3 linked regions of the Drosophila melanogaster genome follow. The protein of the gene in region 3 purifies or fractionates together with the protein of the main gene of each other region. This does not show direct contact. Each region holds a gene or a part of one and is shown on either strand. Other genes may lie near its edges. The genes, in order: Trs33, brun and SIDL.

Region 1 (3,949 bases), 140 kb from region 3:
ACCGCAGCAATCTTGTTGGCCGCTAGCCATATTTCCGCGTGCCGGCGTCACTGCCAAGTTCACCGGCCATCGGAAGCAGCAAGACCGCTTAATTTGCAACTAACAGTATTCAATATGATGGACGAGCAATCGGAACTCGAGACACTGCGTGAAATTTATTACCTAACTGATGATGCGTCGTGCAACTGGCGCAAGTTGCTTGTCCTGGGCGACTGCCTGGACCAACAGCTCAAGCGCAAGCTGCTCTGGATGTGGCCGACATCGGTGGACTTGGACTACTTTAATCAGCTGCTAGCCATGCACGACATCCAGCGAGTTTTGAGCATCGGCTGCGGCAGTGGGCTTTTGGAATGGCTTATGACAGTGTCTGGAGGTCGGAAAGTCCCCATGTTTGGCTTGGAGGTCGATCGCAACTGGTGGCAGAGCAAGTACTCCGTTCGAAGTTTTATACCGCTTAACTATTTAGAGGATGCCAGCCAACTGGATACGGATTTATTGACCAAATGCTGCAGTGACGTTCATCCGTGTGCCTTGCTCTTCTGCTACTTCAACAATCGAGGAGCTTTTCTGGACTATCTAAATGTGTATCAAGGAAAGTGGCTTATATTGATTGGACCATTGCCCGCCCTGGGAATCCACACAGATCCCAATCCCGCCCAGCCCCAACTGCCCATCGACCAGTGGATCCTGCGAGAACGCCTTAACTGGACTGACCACAACATTGTGGCATTCTACGAAAAGATAGCCTAGTCTAGTCTGTAGTATCTCTATAATTGTAGTAATAAACCATTGCCTTACATCCTAATTAGTTCCTGTTCACTTCTATGTGAAACTTGCAGGCGGGTATGCTTTGCACTTCGGCCGTCACGGTGCTGTTAATGCCTAGATTGCTGAGAGCTCCTCGCACCAGCCCGCACGTGAAGGCCACGAACTTGGGCGCGTGCTCCAGCTGCTTGGTGCCCGGCGAGATGCGAGTCAGAAAGCGGAAAGCCTTGTCCTGCACAACGTACATTCCGTGGTTGTTCGTCCTCAGGTTGTCCACTTGCTTCTTGTATATAAGCATCCAGAAGTCGGTGCATATAAACTTCATAGTCTCCAACTCGTCCTTAAAACGCGAAACTTCACGGGTGAGCCGCTCAATCAGGCGGTAGCCGGTGGTGAAGCCTATATACTCCAAAGTGGCCAGGTCGTGCTCCTAATAGGCGGAACCAAATCAAAATCGGTTGTATGACTGATTTTTTTTTGCGTCCCTCGTGTTCCTACCTTATTGCTATCCAGACAATAATTGACTATCTCTGCATGGAGGCAATCGAAAAGGATTTCTTCAGACATTTTCGAGGATTTAATTTTTCTTTGTGAGTTCAACAAATTTTTCCTCGGATTTGTTTTGATCTAGATTTAAACAGCTGTTGCAAGCGTTAACGGGCGAATGTCTTGTTTGCTTTTAGTGGTTTATTGTTATTACTATTATTTATACTTTAATATCAAGAGTATGTATAATTATTTTAATATGAATACTCTAAAATGAGCAGATTTGATAGATCTATTTAGCGTAATTTCAAATCATTTTATAACCATATATTTTTCGATGCATATATTTAGCTAAGCTGCACACATTTCTATCGCTGATCTGGCATCACTATTCAGTGAGGGGGTGTTTGGACAAAAACACAACAAAAAATGTATACAAAACAATTCCGATTAAAATTCGCAGAATAAGTGAATTAAACTTGAACAATTGACAATTAGTAAATAATCCAGTATGCTAGACCTCGTTCACAAAGCCACGCTGCATAGCATGGTCTGTCAGGCAATCCTAGTGTTAATCTGTTTGCTATGCTACGGATGCGGTGGCCTCAGTGGAGCGAAGTTTGTCTTCGATGATACGGTGGCCATCGTCAAGAACCGGGATGTCAACTCACTGCCCACCAACTGGACGGCGATCTTCACGCACGACTTCTGGGGTGCTTCCTTGCTCAGTTCCGATTCCCACAAATCATTTCGGCCACTGACCACCCTGATGTTCCATTGCGAGTATGCCCTTCTGGGGCTAAGTGCCGCCCACATGAAGTTCCTAAACCTCCTGCTACACTGCGTCAACACGCTGCTCATGTGGCGATTGATTCGCTCTCTCTATGTTCCGGAGGTCAGCACGGCAAGATGGGCCATCCTCTCCGCTGCTCTATTTGCCGCCCATCCAATTCACACAGAGGCGGTTTCTGGTGTGGTTGGAAGGGCCGAGCTCATGTTCGGCATGATTCACTTGTTGTGTCTTCTGCTGACCGTGGCCAATACCGGAAGACTTGGTCCACAGACTGGCGGTCTAATCATGCTGCTCACCGCTGTGGGAATGCTGTTCAAGGAGTCCGCTGTGACCATCCCCATGTCGTGTGTACTATTGGATTACTTTCAAAACGGCTACTATCATCTGCGATTCAAGGATCAGTGGAGTCTTTTGCGCACCCGGATCAGCTACTTGTTCTACTTGCTGGGTACCTTGGGTCTGCTGACGGCTCGCCTTTGGTGGCAGGACTTTGAGACGCCTACCTTCAAGGAAGTTGACAACCCCGTTGCGCACAATGAGCACGTGCTGACCCGTGGGCTCTCCCAGCAGTATCTGCTGGTCATGAACATCTGGCTGATGCTGTGCCCCCACTGGCTATGCTACGACTGGGCATTGGGTTGCGTCAAGTTGGTGACCAACATCTGGGATCTGAGACTGCAGGGCGTCATCGGATTCTACTCCATCGTATTGGTGGCTCTGATGAACTTCCGACGGCTGCCCGGAATGATGTTAGCTCTGGGTTTAATGATCGTCCCGTTCCTGCCCGCGTCGGGAATCATTTGCGTAGGATTCGTGATTGCCGAACGGACGCTCTATGTACCCTCCATTGGCTTTTGCCTGCTGTCCATCTATGGATTCTTATATTGGTATGACAGCAGTACGGAAAACACCCACTGGCGCACTGCTCTACGGATTCTTTTAATGCTGCTCTTTTCGGTTATGATGGTACGGACTCGGCAGCGAGCTACTGACTGGCTTAACGAGGAGCAGTTGTTCAAGTCCGCGCTACAGGTGTGTCCTGACAATGCCAAGGTACACTATAACATAGCCCGACTGGCCACTGATATGGGAAACAATACGAAAGCCTTTCAGCACTACCACAGGGCCATTGAATTGTATCCGAACTATGAGTCAGCTCTTATGAACCTCGGCAACCTGTATCGGGAGCACGGTCAACTATCCACCGCCGAGGAATACATTCGATTGGCTTTGCAGGCGTATCCCGCATTTCCAGCGGCTTGGATGAATCTCGGCATTGTGCAGTCGGCTCAGGGAAAGTACGACAAGGCTCTGGCCAGCTATGAGAAGGCCCTGAAGTACAGAGCCAATTTCGCCGTCTGCTACTACAACATGGGCAATCTGTATCTGGAGCAGAAACGTTACGCCGAAGCGCTTCATCATTGGCAGCATGCTGTGGCACTAAATCCCCGCCAGCCAAAAGCCTGGGCTAACATTCTGACAATGCTGGACAACAAGGGGTTGCAGGATGACGCCTTGCGCATCTCTAATCAGGCTCTCCAACATCTACCCAACGATGTCAGTATCCTTTTCATTCGAGCAAACGTGCTTGGCAAATTAAAACATTATACGGAGGCGGAGGCGATCTACAAGCGCGTTATTGAGCTGGAGCCCCACAACACATTGTACCACACGAATCTCGGAGTTCTCTATCATCGCTGGGACAAGACGCAGGAGGCTATAGAGGCTTATCGGACTGCAATAAGTATTAGTGCGGCTAGAGCAACGACAGCCCGGGAGAATCTCAGCAAGCTCTTAAAACGCCTGGAAAGGGAGGCGCAAGTCATGCAGAGATAAGCGTTTCAAGTCCCACCATCCAAATATGGATCCAACCAAAATCTTGGTTGTTTGCAAATAATAAGAGGT
Region 2 (8,854 bases), on a different chromosome or scaffold from region 3:
CGAATTCATTTGATTAGTTCAGGCATGCAAGAAAGCTTTCCAAATTAAAAAGTTAAATATTTAAGGATGTGTTATTATGCGATATGTGTATGTTTCGTTTTATTTGGTCTCTACTGTGCTTGCTGATTTTCCCCAGGTTGGCAGTCTCGTCAGCTGTTTTCCTGATAACATTGACTTGCCGCAAAATGCTTGTTTGTTTAGTCTGAAATTGGCATCTGGTCAAGATCAACTGCCAGTAGGTAGAGACCACATATGGAGCCCACCAATTCGGAGTCGCGGCACCGCCTAAATGGAGGGGGCAGGAGTTCCGCGCCAGCAGGCTCCGGAGAGTACATCAAGGTGGTGGAGTCCCAATGCGAGACCGATGGATTCGTTAATGAACAGTGGACGGAACCGGCGATGCCAGGTCCAGTGCCTTGGAAGACCATTATTATCATTCTTTTGCTGTTTATCGGTGGCATTGTGAGTAGTGATTACTGGTGCCCACACATACATGCACAGTTCCTTCGAACTTCTGATCTGATGTCTTTGTCTTCAGGTTTGCATCGCCTTTGCCACCTTAAACTGGGTGACGGACACGAGCCGGGAGCGATCGGATCGGGTGTGGGCGTTGGGTATCATCGGGGCACTGACCTTCATCCCGGGAAGCTACTATGTGTACGTGCTCTTCTGCATAATGCTCAACCGCAACGGATTCACCATGGACGAGATACGAAGACTCGGCTGAAAAGGAGAAACCAAAGACACCAAATGTTTCGTCAAATAGAGTTTATTGCTTTTACACTACAGTTATTCACACATTTCATTGGCATAATTTCTTTAGCAACAATCTTAATATGTAGTTCATTATGATACATGTGTATTGCCCCGGTAATTGTATAAAAATATTTTTTAAACACGAGCTTCGTTATCAAAATGTATAATGCTTGGCGTGGCTTCTAGTGCGCGGAACATTGGCTATCTATTTAAATAGCGCATCGCTTGCTTAAATATGTATATGTTTTACAGGCATGAACTATAGGTTATATGATTTATGTTATGGCCATTTTCTCTATCAAGCTTGGGGCACAGTATAACTTTGTGTTTCAGCTTAATTATATACAGTGTTATGCGTTACATGTTGTATCTATGTAGGTAAGAATTCTTTACAAACAATTGCTTTTCGTGTTTACGGATATAACAGGGCGCGTGGGAATCAAATACTTTAACAAGAGTAGGGGATTAGTATGGGGTGTATACACAATACATACACAAACATTGTAACGAAATTAAACTAGCGACAGGTAACATTTCACTGCTCCACGACGGTCACCTCGATGGGCGGAATGAACTTCCACACATGCGCCTGCTGCTCATCGTAGCTGGAGGAGAACATGACCGATTGGCCGACACTCTCCGCTTCTGCCGGACAGGAGCGGGTTAGCAATGACGACGGCTGCTCCGACTGCTTCTGCGGATTGCTGGTGCATTCGATGCTGGCCTTGAAACGTCCGGGGGTAAAGAATATCACAGAGCAAGTATGCTCTTTCTGCTCCTGCTTCTCCAGTAGTGGTATTGCAATTCTAAGAGGGTTGATATTGTCTAAATATTTAACTGCTTCGTTTCAATATTTTTCTTCAGCTCTCACCTATTTGGTCCTGAAATGGCCACGCGTGTCTCCAAATTGTAATTTTCCATTCCGTTCAGGTAATCCTGATAGAACTTAATGCTCAGCACCAGATTTCTAAGTGGTTGCAGGGATTGATTGGCCAGCTGGATGCTTAGCAGCGACCGCTGTCCCACCGTGCATACAATCTCATTGTGTGGCTGCACGAGCGTGTCTTGAAAGCTGATAGCTAAAGGTGTAATACAATTGTCATTACAAAGTCGGTAAGGAAGATTCTAAACAAACACACCCCACTCCAAAGGCGACACAGCTGTCAAATCCACCATAGACTGGGAGAGAACTATTCCTCGCAGTGAGGCGATTCCCTGAATGTCCGTCCCCGTTAACAGCCACTTGATTTTCACCCTTTCAGCTATATGAATTGAGCAGAGCTTACTCAGAGCATCGTTAAACGACAGCAGCTGCGTCCGGAAGCAGAGTTCTAGTAAAAAGATAAGCACAAATAGTGAATGAGCTCATATTAAGCGGGATTCATCATACCCCTCTCCAGATTCTCAGCTACCTCGGCCGCCCGAGCAGCCACCACTTTCTCCAAGGAGCACCGATCCACGGGTATGGGCACTCGGCAGCTCTCTTTGGCCTCGATGAGTATATTCTTGGTGTCCGTATAGTTGAGCGACATCTCTTGAGCGGTTAGGTTGGAGATGTCAAGTACCAGGTAAAATTGGGAGGCTCTGTAAATTTGATATACAATGTTAGAAGGAGTTACTTTGAAAAACGAGAAGATTGCACTTACACCTCTGCGGGAAGCACATCCCAGCTTGTAATCTGTACGCTAGGCAAAAGTTCTAGATTAAAGGACACCGCACATTGGCGACAGTAGCCCGCCGTCAAAGCATCTCCGCCCGAGTACTTAAATCTAACTTGCGCCTCTATGTGCTGGTTATATTGTGACCCAAGGCTGGAAGGTCCTACTCCTCCACCGCCGCCAGGGTGCAGGGTTAAGGCAGCCAGCGATGGTGGACCGCCAGAAATGGTCGACCGGAAACTGGAATTCTGTGGCTCATTTCGACGATGATGCGGTGAACCGACTCTCGAGGGTAAGCTGGCGTGCCCAGAGGTGGACACGCTCGAGTAGTGCGTTAGTGACGACGCACCGTAGTCCCCAGGAGCAGCGGCAGAATGCAATGAAGCAGGTGGTTGAGGACAAACGAAGTCCGCTTCGGCAAAAACATCCACTATGATTTCAATGGTGCCCTGGGGAGGCACTGGCAAATGGGCCTGCAAAGGAAAATCATTGATTATTCATTTACTCAATATAAGATCATAAATCTTACCTTGATGGCTTCTTCATCTATTCGGAAGATCTTCTGCTGCAGCTCCTGCTCCACATTTGAGTTGATGCTAAACTCTAGGTGCTCCAGTGGCAGCGTGGCGCTCTCATTGGTAATAGTTATTGTGCAGCTGGAGGATTCTCCGTTGTACAGCGTTAAGCTGGCAGAGGTCACAACGATATCCGCACTGTTCATGTTGCTAAACGTCGCCGTCTGTGGTAGCGAAGTTTTCACAGATATCCTAGGAAGGGCGGGGATAACATCAACCACGTAGTTGGGCGGAAAGCTACGACCACGCATGTGCTTCAGCCGACAGTTGGACTTCACACCGAGCGTGTGCGTGCTGTAGCCCTGCAGATCGAGTTGCCCCGTCTCAATTGGCGTTCCATGTAGCGCCACATACGTGGGCACATGTGGCTGTAGTACAAGAGTCTGGGGCAAAGACTCAAACACCACGCCGTTTGTTAGCAATCTCATGTCCGTTACGGGCAGCTCAAAGGGCAGGGGATTCCGCAGGCGCACAGTCACTTCACTAAGATCATTTTGCACCCACTGGAAAGCTAATATAAAAATTAGTTATGTACGTATGCAGAGATTTTAACCCCAAATCTTACCTATTTTATTTTTGTCCTTTTTCTTATCCCTCCTGTCGACAGAATTAAAGTGTATGGGGGTGAATAGGAAAGGCCCACTGTCCGCTTTGGCCACCTTTATTCTTTGCGGTCGCAAATGAGCGGGCAAATCTTTAACCTGAAGATCGATACAGTAGGGCAGATCCGTGAGATTGGCGGGTGGTATCACAGTGCCATTTTCCAGCACCAAGGGCACAGGAGAGCCCTCGCACTGAGCGCTTAAATTCTTTAGAAAATGTACCGATTTTAGTGTGAATGAATTAGCATCTTATTTTGATAACTTACCTGCAGTTGCACAGCCATCTCGCTTTGCTCCGTTGGCGACATGTTGTCCCACTGAGTCTGCAGCAAAAAGGTCATGTGCCGCGTGGCCAAAGCGGAGTGTCCCAAACGCCTGGCGGCAGTTATAAGGGTCTGGACCAGATCGATTTGCAACGCCGGCCAGCCGGCGGCATTTTCTATTACTTCCAAGGGGTCGAGACAAAGCCGGTACCCCGTAAAACTGCCCAACATGAGGCGGTAACTTTGGTTCCAGTCCGGCGCTTGGCTGCCCTGCTGAACGTGCTTGAGTGCAGCGAGTCTTTGGAAAAATGCCGCCTTCCTTTGGTATCCGATCTGCTGGTAAAGATCCGTAATGACCTCGAATCTCTTTACCCGCTCGGCTTCGCTCATGCTCAGGTTTATGTAGAGTATATTCTGCAAAAACATGGCCACGTCCAGGGGACGATTCTGCTCGATGCAAATCCGCGAGGCCTTCAGTGCCGCCTCCGTCTCTATAGTGGCTGCATGCCTGTACTTGCTGTAGTTAATGATGGCCTTGCGATAGTAGTTGCTGATCTCCTCCGCCTTGAGGATGTTGCCCGGCAGATCGCCGTTCCTCTGGTGTCCTGGTATCGGTGCTGCCGATATCGTCGAAGTGGAGGAAGATGATGTAGTTGGCGTGTCCGAGGCGGAGGAATTGGTGGCCGTTGTCACCAGGGAAGACACGGATGAGCAGGAAGATGAGTTCGAGGTTACGCGCTGCTGAGGCTGGTTGGAATCCACATTGTTCGCGGTCGCGTCACTGGCGCTAATCTTCTTGGTGGCGTCGCTAGCACGCCACTTTTCAGGGGTGTTTTTTAGGGGAGAGGTGCCTGGCAAGGATGAGGAATAAGTAAGGCATATTCAATTAGGTTTTTGGTACTCACCCGCCTCCTGAAGCGACGAGTTTCTATGCAGCGTTTCGGTTTCTCGCATTTGGGGATACAACAGCATTGCGGAAGCGGCACACAAGCCCTCTTCGGTTGCCCCAACCCAAAGGGAATCACCTACCGACCTCAAAGTCTCATTGGCATTGTGGTACAGACTCAAGGCGTCGTCAACCAGGCCAGCTTGCAGCGATAGATCTGCCAGGTTCTTCATCACACGACCCACGCATCTTTTCCTATTGTTCCTCGACTCCATGTCCAGGCCCACAAAGTCTCGCTTTTCAAAGGGTGCCAGCAACAGGCTCACCTTGTCCGCCTTCTCGCGAGATCGCTCTAACCGTCGTGATTCCAGGACCCAAAACAACGCGCTAGCAAAGTCCCCAATTCGAGATTCGAGATCGGCACACGAATCCTGTTCGCGATAGAAAAAGGCCTGCGCTTTGAAGTTCGATGGCGTTGTGAATTCATCTTGAAGGCGTCGTCCACCAGCTGCCGGTGGTCCCAGCACCTCCCCAATGGTTTCCAGTGGCTGCTCATCGGGCCCAAAGAAAATTGCACGGGACTCGTACAGAGTAGACCCGTAGCGAACTTTTAAGGACTCGTGCTGACGGCACAGCTCATTGAGCTCGATTTGGCTATCGAATTTGCCAATGGTGACAAGTCCCAGCAGTCGGCGATGGGTCTGAAAGTCGCCCCAATCGTTGTGCTCCACAGGATGATCGTGAACGAAGCGGATCCAAATAGAGCGGGGATGTCCAGAGGAGTCTGTAAGGCAGATTGAATTATTTGTAATCAAAAAGATAGCAAGAGAGCTGGAGCAACACACACCATTGACCCGGATGTGATTGACACGTCGCACTTTCTCAAACGCCCGCTGAAGGACGCGAGCGCGCGATGGACCCACGCCGCGGAGCAGCACCAGCAGGCAGCTGTGGTGCAGGGCGCTCTGCTCGTAGTCTGGGCGTGACAACGCTGGCTCCATGCCACCAGCACCGTGCGACAGCATCAGGCCAACGGCCGCACGCATTTACACCGCGCCGCGGCTCTCAAATCCAATCCCTGTCCCAGTCCGGAGGATGCGAGCGCCAGTTTCCTTTGCATCTGCCAAGTTCTTCACAGGCGTTCCATACCGCTGTCAAGTGGATAAGCTCTCGATTGGATTCGATTTCTTCAGAGGAGCCACCTCCTCCCCCTTTTCGAGGTCAGTCAGCGCCTGCTTTCACCACGCTTTTTGCCTGGTTTCTCGGCTGTTTCCGAATCCGCTGCACTCCTTCACATGGGTACCGATGCCGGGTACTCGGAGGAAGTCGAAAACCCCAGGAAATAAATGACTAAATGGCTTTTTAAGCGCAGATAATCGTTTAGCCGTTTGCTTTGGCAAAGAAATTGTCCAATCAGTGCCTGTCGACTAGTCGCTGTGAATGGCACATCGCACAGATTGACGGCAGAAAGGTCACACTAATCTAATCGATGGTGTTGACAATCAGATAAAATATTTGTACAAATATAAAATGGAAAACCAAGTTTCTTATAGTGCTACTTAAAAAAACTTTAATTGTATTACTTTTAGTATTACATTTAGCGAAATAAGCTATTGAATATTTTGCAAATGATCCGCCTCTAACTTATCGATACTTTTTGGCTCCGGCCACACTGCTGAGGGACCATCCACTAGAATGGCAATGCCCCGTACAATCACATTTTGCCGCTTTATTGTTTATATTTTGCATCCTTTTTGTAGTTGTTGAAACCATGAATTTACTGCCCAAAACCCGCGAGGAGTTCGCACAGACCGATTACTGGAACGAATTCTTCAAGAAGCGCGGTGAGAAGGCCTTCGAATGGTACGTAAATGGTACCCACTAAGCTCGAGCAGACTTCTTGGGGAAGGGAAGAACTCCGAGCAACATGTGTTTTCTTGGCCAACTAAAAGTTGCTTTAACTGCGAAGGTACGGCGAATACCTGGAGTTGTGCGACCAGATCCACAAATACATCAAGCCGGCGGATAGGATTTTGATGCTGGGATGCGGTAACTCCAAATTGAGCATGGATATGTACGACACAGGATTTCGGTAAGGAATCTTCTGTAATAAGCTTTATGTATAAGTAGCATGCGCCTCCTCCTTACATATAACATTCCTTTCCAATATGTATTAGATCTTGATCTTGGCCCTATAAATAACTTTCCCTTGGTATTTTACATTTTCCCCTTAGGGATATCACAAACATAGATATATCTCCCATCGCTGTGAAGAAAATGCTGGAACTGAATGCCAAATCGCGGCCGGAAATGAAGTTTCTGCAAATGGACGCGACAGCAATGACGTTCCCGGATGAAAGCTTTTCGGTGTCGTTGGACAAGGGAACGCTGGATGCTCTGTTTGCCGACGACGAACCTGAAACGAGAGCGGTGGTGGAAAACTATTTCAAGGAAATACTAAGAACCATGAGGTGGGTAATGTGCACAGTCCCAGATCGAAGGTATTCAATGTCTCTATTTATGCATCAGGAACGGTGGTCGCTATGTGGGTATCTCCCTGCTGCAAGAGCACATCCTCAATTTCCTACTGGACTTCCTGCCCAAGCACAATTGCATGCTGAGGATTGTTCACTGCTTGGGGGTGGAACAGGCCAACAAAGAGAAGAATGCCGATGATGCCTTGACGCTGCCTGTTTTCGTAGTCGTCGCTACTAAATTTAAGAGCCTTCCAATGCCAGTGAGTAGACCCCTAGGCAATTAACTTTTTGCATTCAGATTACAATTTGATTTACTTGTAGGTACTCGAATTTGGTTTCGGCAACGACAAGATGCAAAGATTCACCACGGTCTCCGAACTGAATAGCGCAGTTTCATCAGTCCAAAAGGCCGCTTTGGTTTGCAACGGTCTAGCCAGATCCAACATAGCTGGTCACAATGAGGTGATCATGGATCTGCACCGACCATCTGAGCAAACCCCTCGCTATACTATCCACATACTGGATAAGCCGCCAGCTCGCGGCCTGGGCAAATACGCGGCGTTTATCGTTCCTCAGGGAAGAGAGGTGGAGTGGATTTTTTCCACGCCTGCGGGCCGGAAAAAGCTCCAGGACTCCGCCAACTTCCAACGACTGGCTGTGGTTACCCTTCATAGAGATCAGGTTTACAGTACCTTAGACGAAGTGAAGCAAGAGTTGGCCGACAGCATAAAGAACCTATCGCCAGCTGGACTCACTGATCAGATACCGTATCTAAGTCTTGGATCCGATGTGGGCAAAAGGGAGACTCTTATTTGTGGGTTCTCTAAGATATCTGGAGATTTCCGCATCGAGGAAGTGGAGGCCAATGGCAAGACCCTGCGACGCCTTATTTTTCTCAGCAATCAGTTTGTTGTGCAATCGGAAGCCTTAGTTAAAACAGGTAAATATATCTTACTATCATTTTGCCGTTTTGTTCAAGCACAAATTATGTTGTAGTCAAAATCAAAGGCAAAAAGGATCGAAAGAAGATTGACTTCGGCTACCTAGCCTGCCAGCATCATTTGTACATGTCCGTGGGTGTCCAACTGGCCACAACGGTGCAGCATCCCAAAAGAGATGTGGAAAAGGATGTTCTCGTCGTCGGCTTGGGAGGCGGCGGTCTGTGCAGCTTTCTTCACGCCGCTTTGCCGTAGGTCTTACTCAGTTTAACTACTATACTCTTTTTTAATTGCAATTTTCCTTTCAGGCAAGCTAGAATAACGGCCGTCGAAATTGATCCTATAATGTTGGAGGTGGCTGAGCAGTATTTTGAGCTCAAGCAGGACAAACGCTTTCATGTGGTTATCGATGATGGCTTGGATTTCGTTGAGCGATGTCGCAATGAAGGTGAAAATCCACGATACAATCTCGTATTAGGCAAAATTTTGTATTATTGTAATGCATTTACGTTTAGATATCCACTTCGATGCCGTGTTGTTCGATGTAGACAGCAAGGATCTCAGTTTGGGAATGAGTTGTCCGCCCCAAAGCTTCCTAGCTACGAAGATCCTGCAGCACATAAAGGAGATTATCGGTCCGAAAGGTCTCTTTATGCTAAATCTCGTGTGTCGCGATGAGAGCCTTCGCACAGAGGCTCT
Region 3 (7,098 bases):
CTTCGCGCAATTCAAAAAATAATTCTAATGAGTAAAGAAGAGTATTAAATAATCTAATTTTATGGCGATAAGTGCATTGAAATAAAATTATTTCAAATGTGAATCGTATATATACAAGAATCTGGGCTTATTCTTGTTTCATCTAATTTTTTTACTTATTAACAACAAATAATTCTTTTCCCAATCGATATTGAGTTATATTAAATTGTGATCACGAGAGTTCGGCTCATCTCTATAGATTAGAATTGTTTCGACAAAAGATAAGCTCTTTTGACCATAATCAGAAAAACACAGGTTATAAAGATTTCCCACTATGTCGAAATCCGGAGAGTTTACATTCCGGCGTGCTCTAGCTGAAGATATTAAAGATGTGCTCTCCATGATTCAAGTTGAGTTTTATAAGATTCCTATTTTAATACCAATTTGAGATACTTTTGAATTGATCTGCAGGAACTGGCTGACTTTGAGAAGATGAGCAATGGTCCCCAGCTAACAGAGGAAGGTAAGAGATGGCGAAACCCTTACCATAGTAATGAAATAATGGTAAAGTAATGGATTGTAATATGACAGATCTTAAACGAGACGCAGGACTCACTGGTGGCCAGGAGTATTGTGAAGTCTATGTGCTTGTAGACAACGATACTGAGTAAGTGCTGTAGTTCTTGGCATGACCTGATTAACTTGTGGGCTTGTTCTCCTATTCTAGTCAGGCGATTGGGTACTCCATTTGCTACAAGGCATACTCAACGTGGCAGGGACGGTACTTCTTCGTCGAGGACATCTATGTCCGCCCCGAGCACCGTAAACGCGGCGCCGGAAAGCGAATCTTCTTGGAGGTTGCATCGCGGGCTGTAGAGCTTCAGTGCCCTCGCCTGGAGTTTAATGTACTGGAATGGAATCCTGCACGCAAGTTCTACGAAAGTCTTGGTGCCGTGGATTTGACAGATAAAGAGGGCTGGCACTACTACCGCGTGGAGGAGCAACAACTGGCCAAATTGGCCGCGGATCTGAGGGCAAAAAAATCTTAACTTGATTTGATTTTCAATTTTTACTACTTTATAGTAGGGCGATAAATAATTAATAATACTTGGCCATGGGCCATATGTGCTATGAGTACATTGCAATTAATTCGTTTGGCTTCTCATTGATCCCCCGCCACACTTGCGATGACATGGATCTGCATGCTCTTCGTGGAGTTGTAGACTTGACCGGGCGGAAAGGGATGCACCTTGGAGTGGCCATCGGTTTTACTTTTGCCACCGGCAGTATACTTGGATAATCGAATGCTGGGCATTGGTAGAAAGCCGGTGCTCAGCGGCATTACATCCAGCGATATGGAATGACTGTCGACGTCCTTCATGGATACGACACCTAAAAGGTTAAGTAAAAATTAGTTAGTCAACAAGTACAGACTGTTGGTTCATCGAAGTAAGCCAATTTTCTTTTTCAGTGTTAAATGTTTCCAATCAAAAGCAAGGGCAAATCTAGTTAGTGCTACGTGTGTCCTATTCCAAGGAACTTACCCATATCTTAAAATGCAAAAGTGAATCGTGTGTAGAGAAACAGAATTAAATCATAAGCAAAGAAAGAGAGAGAGTAGTAAAGAGAATCCAACTTACCCGCTGAGCGACCGCAAACGGCCCACAGATTCTGATCGTTGAGCACCTCGTACATGAGATCCGTGTAGGGATTCTCATGCACCTTGGTGATCTTCAAGTTCATGTTGCACACGGTGCGCAGACGGCACAGTTCATTGGGTTCCAGCTGCGCCTGCAACTTAAAGAGCGTTGTGTAGTCCACCAGATCAAAAGCGCAGCCATACGTTCTCCACACATCAGGCTGCGACAGTGATGCGTATTTGATTACAAAATGCACTTTTACGACGGGCAGCTCGTGCTCCGTTTTGAGGGGCTCAACTTGAATCTCGTACAGATAAGTTACAGTCAGGGATTTGTAGATTTCCTAGAAGACGAGCTCAGGAGATCAGCAATTTTAGATATTAAATTACATTGCTATTTAGTTACAATGGGCTGCTGGGATTCCGGATTAAGATCCAACAATTGCACACCGGGCACATCGCACTTGACTTGAGCGTGCTGCAAAAGGAGATGTGCTTCCATGCCCTTCATGATCACCTGCAGGAACTTCTGAGTGCCACACGTGTGAAGCCGGCAAGTGGCCTCCATGGCTGGTTGAAAATCGACGGCGATTGGGAGCTCAGTTCGAGACCATGGACAATTGAGGGCGATGTGATGCTCATGGTGTTTAGACACCTTTCGGCCCGGCATATCAGTGAGAACCTCCAGTGGGATCCTACGTTCCTCGAACGATTTGAATTGCACTAGTGGCACTTGAAGCGTACTCTCAAATGATTGGTCATCATTATAGGCTGCTTCATCATCCGTATTTCGCGCCTGTCGAATGCGAAGATTCTTGGAGCAACGCAGTGTGATTTTTGCATCGGGCGGAAAGATGAAACTGCCACCGGAGACATTTAGGCTAATCGGCTGCACTATGCCAGCTATCAGAGTCTTGAATTCCAGCGTGGCACTTGCCGGCTTGGTGCTAATCTCAAAGGTGGCAGGCATAAATGGCAGCTGTTCCGACAAGAACTCCAGGCTGGACATGCTAATACATAGCTTAAAAACAAAAACGATTGAAGATAGGCCAAGAAAACTGATGCAACGTGATCACCCACCTGTTTGAATTGCCAGCAGCCCACTCGAGTGGCCTTTGCCTTCATCTCAATTAGGTTTACGCCCGGCTGAAGGGCAATGTTTTCCGCTTGAACAAAATTGGTGAAGTCCGCCTGGACACTTGGTGAAAGTTTGCGCTTGGTGCTGCTTGTTCGTCGCACGGGTTGCTTGCTTTTTGGCAAGTCGCAGGCCACAGCGGCAGAGTGCAGGCGATTGTCCTGTTTGTAGACTAGCTGAAGCGAGACCTTTAATCGTGATGAGGTGTCCTTGGCCTTTACCGTCGACGGGGAGGCAGTTAGGCTGACATTCTCCATGGCCAGCTCCAGAGAGGAAGCTTCCAATTCGTAACAAAGCTTAACATTTTCAGCTACGACCCCGCGCGGATAGAGACTTTCTACTTTTAGCTGCACTAGAATATAATCATCCTGTATAATAGGTTTCTGGTTAACAACCTCGATGTCCAGAATGCGAAAGTGATCCTCCAGTACACAATAGTTGGCATTCTCTATCGACGGCTGTGCCGAAAGCGTCGTCTTAAGTGTTTTCAGTGACTTGAGAAACTCGTCGAAATAAAATGTTCGCACTAAGGTCTCTAGTTCTGCGCAACACGAGATGGAGCTACATGTCTTGGTGTAGGCCAGCGAGTCGCCCATCTTGCGGTAGCAGTTAGCTAGTTCAAGCAGCGTCTGCGAGCTCAGCATGTGCCAGTTCTCTGCCTTCAGCTCCCTGAGAAGATCCGTAAAGAATCCAACAGCTTTATGTGGCTCATTTAGAGCGCAGTAGAAGTTTCCCAGGTCCAGGCCAACCAAACGGGCCGATCGCAAGCGTGTCACATGCTTGTACGTACTGATGGCCAACTCTGCCAGCTCCAGGTAGAGCTTCTGGAAGGCTTGATTCGAGCCCAGGGCTTCCTTAAGCTGCTCAGCCCCCGATTTCTTGGGCTTACGATTGGGAGACCGGTCTCGTAGCTGAGGTGTCGCCTGGAGGAACTGATGCTGCTCGGACGGCGCATCTCCAATTCCCGACGATAGCTGCACCACTATGTGCAACTGCTCCGAAGTTGGCGTGCAGCCGGGCAAGAGGCCACACAGTTTGCCGAGCTCGTAGAGCTTATCCTTGGCCAAGTTCCAGATGGGAGCACAGTGCTGGAAACATGTTAGCTCGTTGGGTTCCATAGCCTGTTCGCACAGCTGCAGGACTTCCAGAGCACAAACAAACTCCCAACAGCAAAGAGCGCCCTCCTGACACTCCAGCTTTATGAGCTCCACCTCGCGCAGTGTGGAAAACAAAAAGTTCAGAAGCCTCTTCGCGATTTCTGGGATGTCATTGCAAGTAAGCAGCAAATAGGCTTGACGTTCGAAAAGATAGTTGCGGAATTCCAACAGAGAAACGCCTTCATCGCGGATTTTGTTCCTCATTTCGAACTTGTCCGCTCGGGTCAGACATATACCATGGAAAGCGTCCAGGGGCTTGCGAAAATGGTTCAACCACTGCTGCTTCTCGTTGAGACCAGTGTGAGTTATGAACTGCGAGAACATGGCGTCCAGTTCATCGTACTGTATCAACGCCTCGGTGGGCAATTCCAGCTTTTCAAAGATCAACGCAAGGTCTTCCTGCATAAAGAAGTATTGGCGGAAATCCCAGCCTTCAATGTTTCTCTTTTCGCGCTTGCTCCGTATTAGTTCCTCGTACTTAACTATGTTCCGATTGTAGCTGGTGAGCATAAGGAAGCGAATACGCTGCACTAGGCAGCGGAAGGACTCGGTGGATTTCTGTTCAAACTTGGCCGGGTTCAGAACTGAGATGCAGCGGTCGTCGTTCTTCGTGCCAAAATCCAACCGTATCTTATCTAGCACAGTGGTGCGTGGCATGAAGTTCTTTGTCTTCCGCATGTCCAGTGTTTCGACCAACAGAATCATCCAATCCGAGACGCCATAACTGGTTAATGTTTTTAACCAAATGTCGATTGCCTCCCTGATCGTGGCTTTGTAGGTGTCCACATCCTGAAAGATAGTTAATGGAGGTGGATTTAGAGATTCCTACAGGATCAGTTAACTCACATTGCACTCGGTGACGAAAATGTGCAGTATGGGGTGCTCCAAGATGCTCCAGTCACCCTGCTTGTACTTCTCCAAGGCCGCAACATTGAACTGCTGTGCCTGGGCTTCCAAGCGAACATGTTTCGTGGGGCGTTGGAAAGTGCGTCGCCACTCGCAAGTGTCCAGTGGAATCGCGTTCAGGATCTGGGACTCCAGCGATCGGAACAGCGGGCACGAGCCAGAGTCTGTAAGTAAAGGTTTGATATGGGATTTATTGTGTTAATTTTTTACAACTCACATGTTATTATGGGCTTTATCTGCATTGTTTTTGTAAATTTCGTATGTTTTTCATTTGGCAAACGAAAGCCACACAACAATCTCAACCAAACAGCTGATAAGGCGAGGGCGGGGGAATCGATTGTTCGTTGCTATCAATAATCGGTTGACCAATTTAAAAAATATTTTAATTCCTAATGCAATGAACCATTAAATGCTAGCCTAATACAAGAAATTAATAATCTAATTAAGCAGCTTTAACTATTCGCTCAACAGGTGTGCTTTCAGCAGCCCTGGTCAAGGGCGTAGAGAAAAAGTAGAAGGATATGCAGAATAAAATATGGTTAGATGAACCAAACTAAATGGTTTTTAATTGGTAGAGAAAGCCTTCTTTTATTAAAAAATATTAACAAAAAATGTTTTCACTTAAATTTGTTAAGGGGTATATGAGGGGTATATCCCTTTTGCACCACACCTCAGTTTTTTATGGCTTGGCTAAAAATCGATACCACCCACAGTCGCCTATCGAACAGCTGATAGTGAAATCAGATTCGGTAGCTAATTGAAAACGAAACAATGAAGAAATAATATTTGTTTTTCACACGCCACAAAGAGACACTTAAGAGAAACTTTCACTGAATGCGCGGCCAGGTCTCGACTGGAAATTAGCCAGCCCCAGCATGGACATGGCCAGGAGCATTTTTGGCCGCGACCATGAGGGTTACGTGGGCCGTGAAGAGCATACGGTGCGTCTAAATTGACCAGAAAAGATTGCTTATCATGGTAATTAATATTTATCGTTCCACTGCCAACAGCGCAAACTGCAGAACCTGGGCTCGGAAGACGATCTGGGAGAGCTGCCGCCTATGATGGAGGAACTAAGTGTGGCCGATGGCCTGCGACCAAATCCCGGTGGGCCATTCTCCGCTCTTACCGCCTCCATGTGGCCACAGGAAATCCTAGCCAAGCTGGGCGGTGGCGCGGAATTGGCTTCCGGCCCAAACGACCAGCCGGAGTACCGTTTTGACGAATTTGGCTTCCGGGTGGAGGAGGAGGACGGTCCGGAGCAGAGCTCCAACAAATTGCTGAGCATACCCTTTGTAGAGGACGCGCAGCAGCGATTGCAGTGGATCGCCCACCTGGAGTTCTCACACAACAAGGAGGCTGCCGAGCTGAGCTGGGAGCATGTGGATGTAATGCTCCCACGCACAGAAAAGCTGCGCAATATGGTCCGTCAGGGTATCCCGCACACGTTGCGTGCCCAGATGTGGATGCGTCTATCAGGAGCGTTGGCCAAGAAGCAAAAGAGCGAGACCAGCTACCACGATATAGTTAAAGGTAGATCGAACGCGACAAGAAAGGTTATAAATACATTATTAATATACACCTAATTTGATAGCTTCTAGCAATGACCAGCTGATGACTTCGAAGCAGATCGAGAAGGACCTTTTGCGCATCCTGCCAACAAATGCCTGCTTTAGCAATCCGAATGGGACAGGCATTCCCCGATTGCGCCGCATTCTGAGGGGCATCGCGTGGCTTTTTCCTGACATTGGCTACTGTCAGGGCACCGGAGTGATCGTTGCCTGTCTGCTTCTCTTCATGGAGGAGGAGAACGCCTTTTGGATGATGGCCACCATTGTAGAGGATCTGCTGCCAGCTTCCTACTACAGCTCAACTCTTCTGGGAATTCAAGCCGACCAACGCGTGATGCACACGCTTATTGCCAACTACCTGAGCAGCGTGGACGAGTCCTTGCGTAAGCACGACATCGAGCTGTCTTTAATCACGCTGCATTGGTTCCTCACGCTTTTTGCCAACGTGGTGCATATGAAGATTCTTGTGCGTATCTGGGACTGGTTCTTTTACGAGGGCTCCATCGTGCTGTTCCAGTTGACTCTGGGCATGCTCAAGGTGAAGGAGCAAGATCTAAAGCATCTCGAGAACTCAGCACAGATTTTCAATTCACTGTCCGACATTCCCGGCGAGGTCACTGATGTCGAAGTGCTCTTTCGCCAAGCCCTGGAGGTGGGCGGATCACTTAGCCAGACGGTAATCGATACCCATCGTCGTCGTCACCTGGCCTA

What was found.
Region 1: the proteins of SIDL (region 3) and Trs33 purify together in Drosophila melanogaster (affinity purification with western blotting, with the first as the bait; one study listed by BioGRID). This does not show direct contact.
Region 2: the proteins of SIDL (region 3) and brun purify together in Drosophila melanogaster (affinity purification with western blotting; one study listed by BioGRID). This does not show direct contact.

The regions. Positions count from the first base shown.
Region 1 is NT_033777.3:15,349,589-15,353,537, forward strand, and holds Trs33 (TRAPP subunit 33), read right to left. Parts: upstream 1,408-3,949; 5' UTR 1,333-1,407; coding exon 1,264-1,332; intron 1,196-1,263; coding exon 806-1,195; 3' UTR 757-805; downstream 1-756. Other genes in the region: CG42727 (uncharacterized protein), read left to right, coding at 115-750; Tmtc4 (transmembrane O-mannosyltransferase targeting cadherins 4), read left to right, coding at 1,763-3,880.
Region 2 is NT_033779.5:20,649,999-20,658,852, forward strand, and holds brun (brunelleschi), read right to left. Parts: upstream 6,181-8,854; 5' UTR 5,787-6,180; coding exon 5,588-5,786; intron 5,525-5,587; coding exon 4,760-5,524; intron 4,706-4,759; coding exon 3,858-4,705; intron 3,799-3,857; coding exon 3,555-3,798; intron 3,501-3,554; coding exon 2,944-3,500; intron 2,888-2,943; coding exon 2,403-2,887; intron 2,341-2,402; coding exon 2,147-2,340; intron 2,088-2,146; coding exon 1,896-2,087; intron 1,836-1,895; coding exon 1,628-1,835; intron 1,563-1,627; coding exon 1,292-1,562; 3' UTR 757-1,291; downstream 1-756. Other genes in the region: CG2611 (uncharacterized protein), read left to right, coding at 253-462, 539-727; CG2614 (uncharacterized protein), read left to right, coding at 6,512-6,603, 6,710-6,832, 6,975-7,211, 7,270-7,477, 7,539-8,157, 8,214-8,406, 8,464-8,603, 8,671-8,854. UniProt on the Drosophila melanogaster protein: Cooperates with Rab11 and fwd/PI4K to mediate the flow of membrane through the Golgi, which is required to support cleavage furrow ingression, therefore promoting cytokinesis in male meiotic cells.
Region 3 is NT_033777.3:15,213,720-15,220,817, forward strand, and holds SIDL (shal interactor of Di-Leucine motif), read right to left. Parts: upstream 5,156-7,098; 5' UTR 5,059-5,155; coding exon 5,034-5,058; intron 4,981-5,033; coding exon 4,757-4,980; intron 4,700-4,756; coding exon 2,699-4,699; intron 2,640-2,698; coding exon 2,025-2,639; intron 1,963-2,024; coding exon 1,620-1,962; intron 1,372-1,619; coding exon 1,142-1,371; 3' UTR 1,043-1,141; downstream 1-1,042. Other genes in the region: CG4210 (uncharacterized protein), read left to right, coding at 314-388, 451-502, 571-646, 707-1,028; CG12241 (uncharacterized protein), read left to right, coding at 5,692-5,757, 5,827-6,349, 6,411-7,098. UniProt on the Drosophila melanogaster protein: May play a role in vesicular transport from endoplasmic reticulum to Golgi. Has a role in one of the several mechanisms underlying dendritic localization of Shal channels.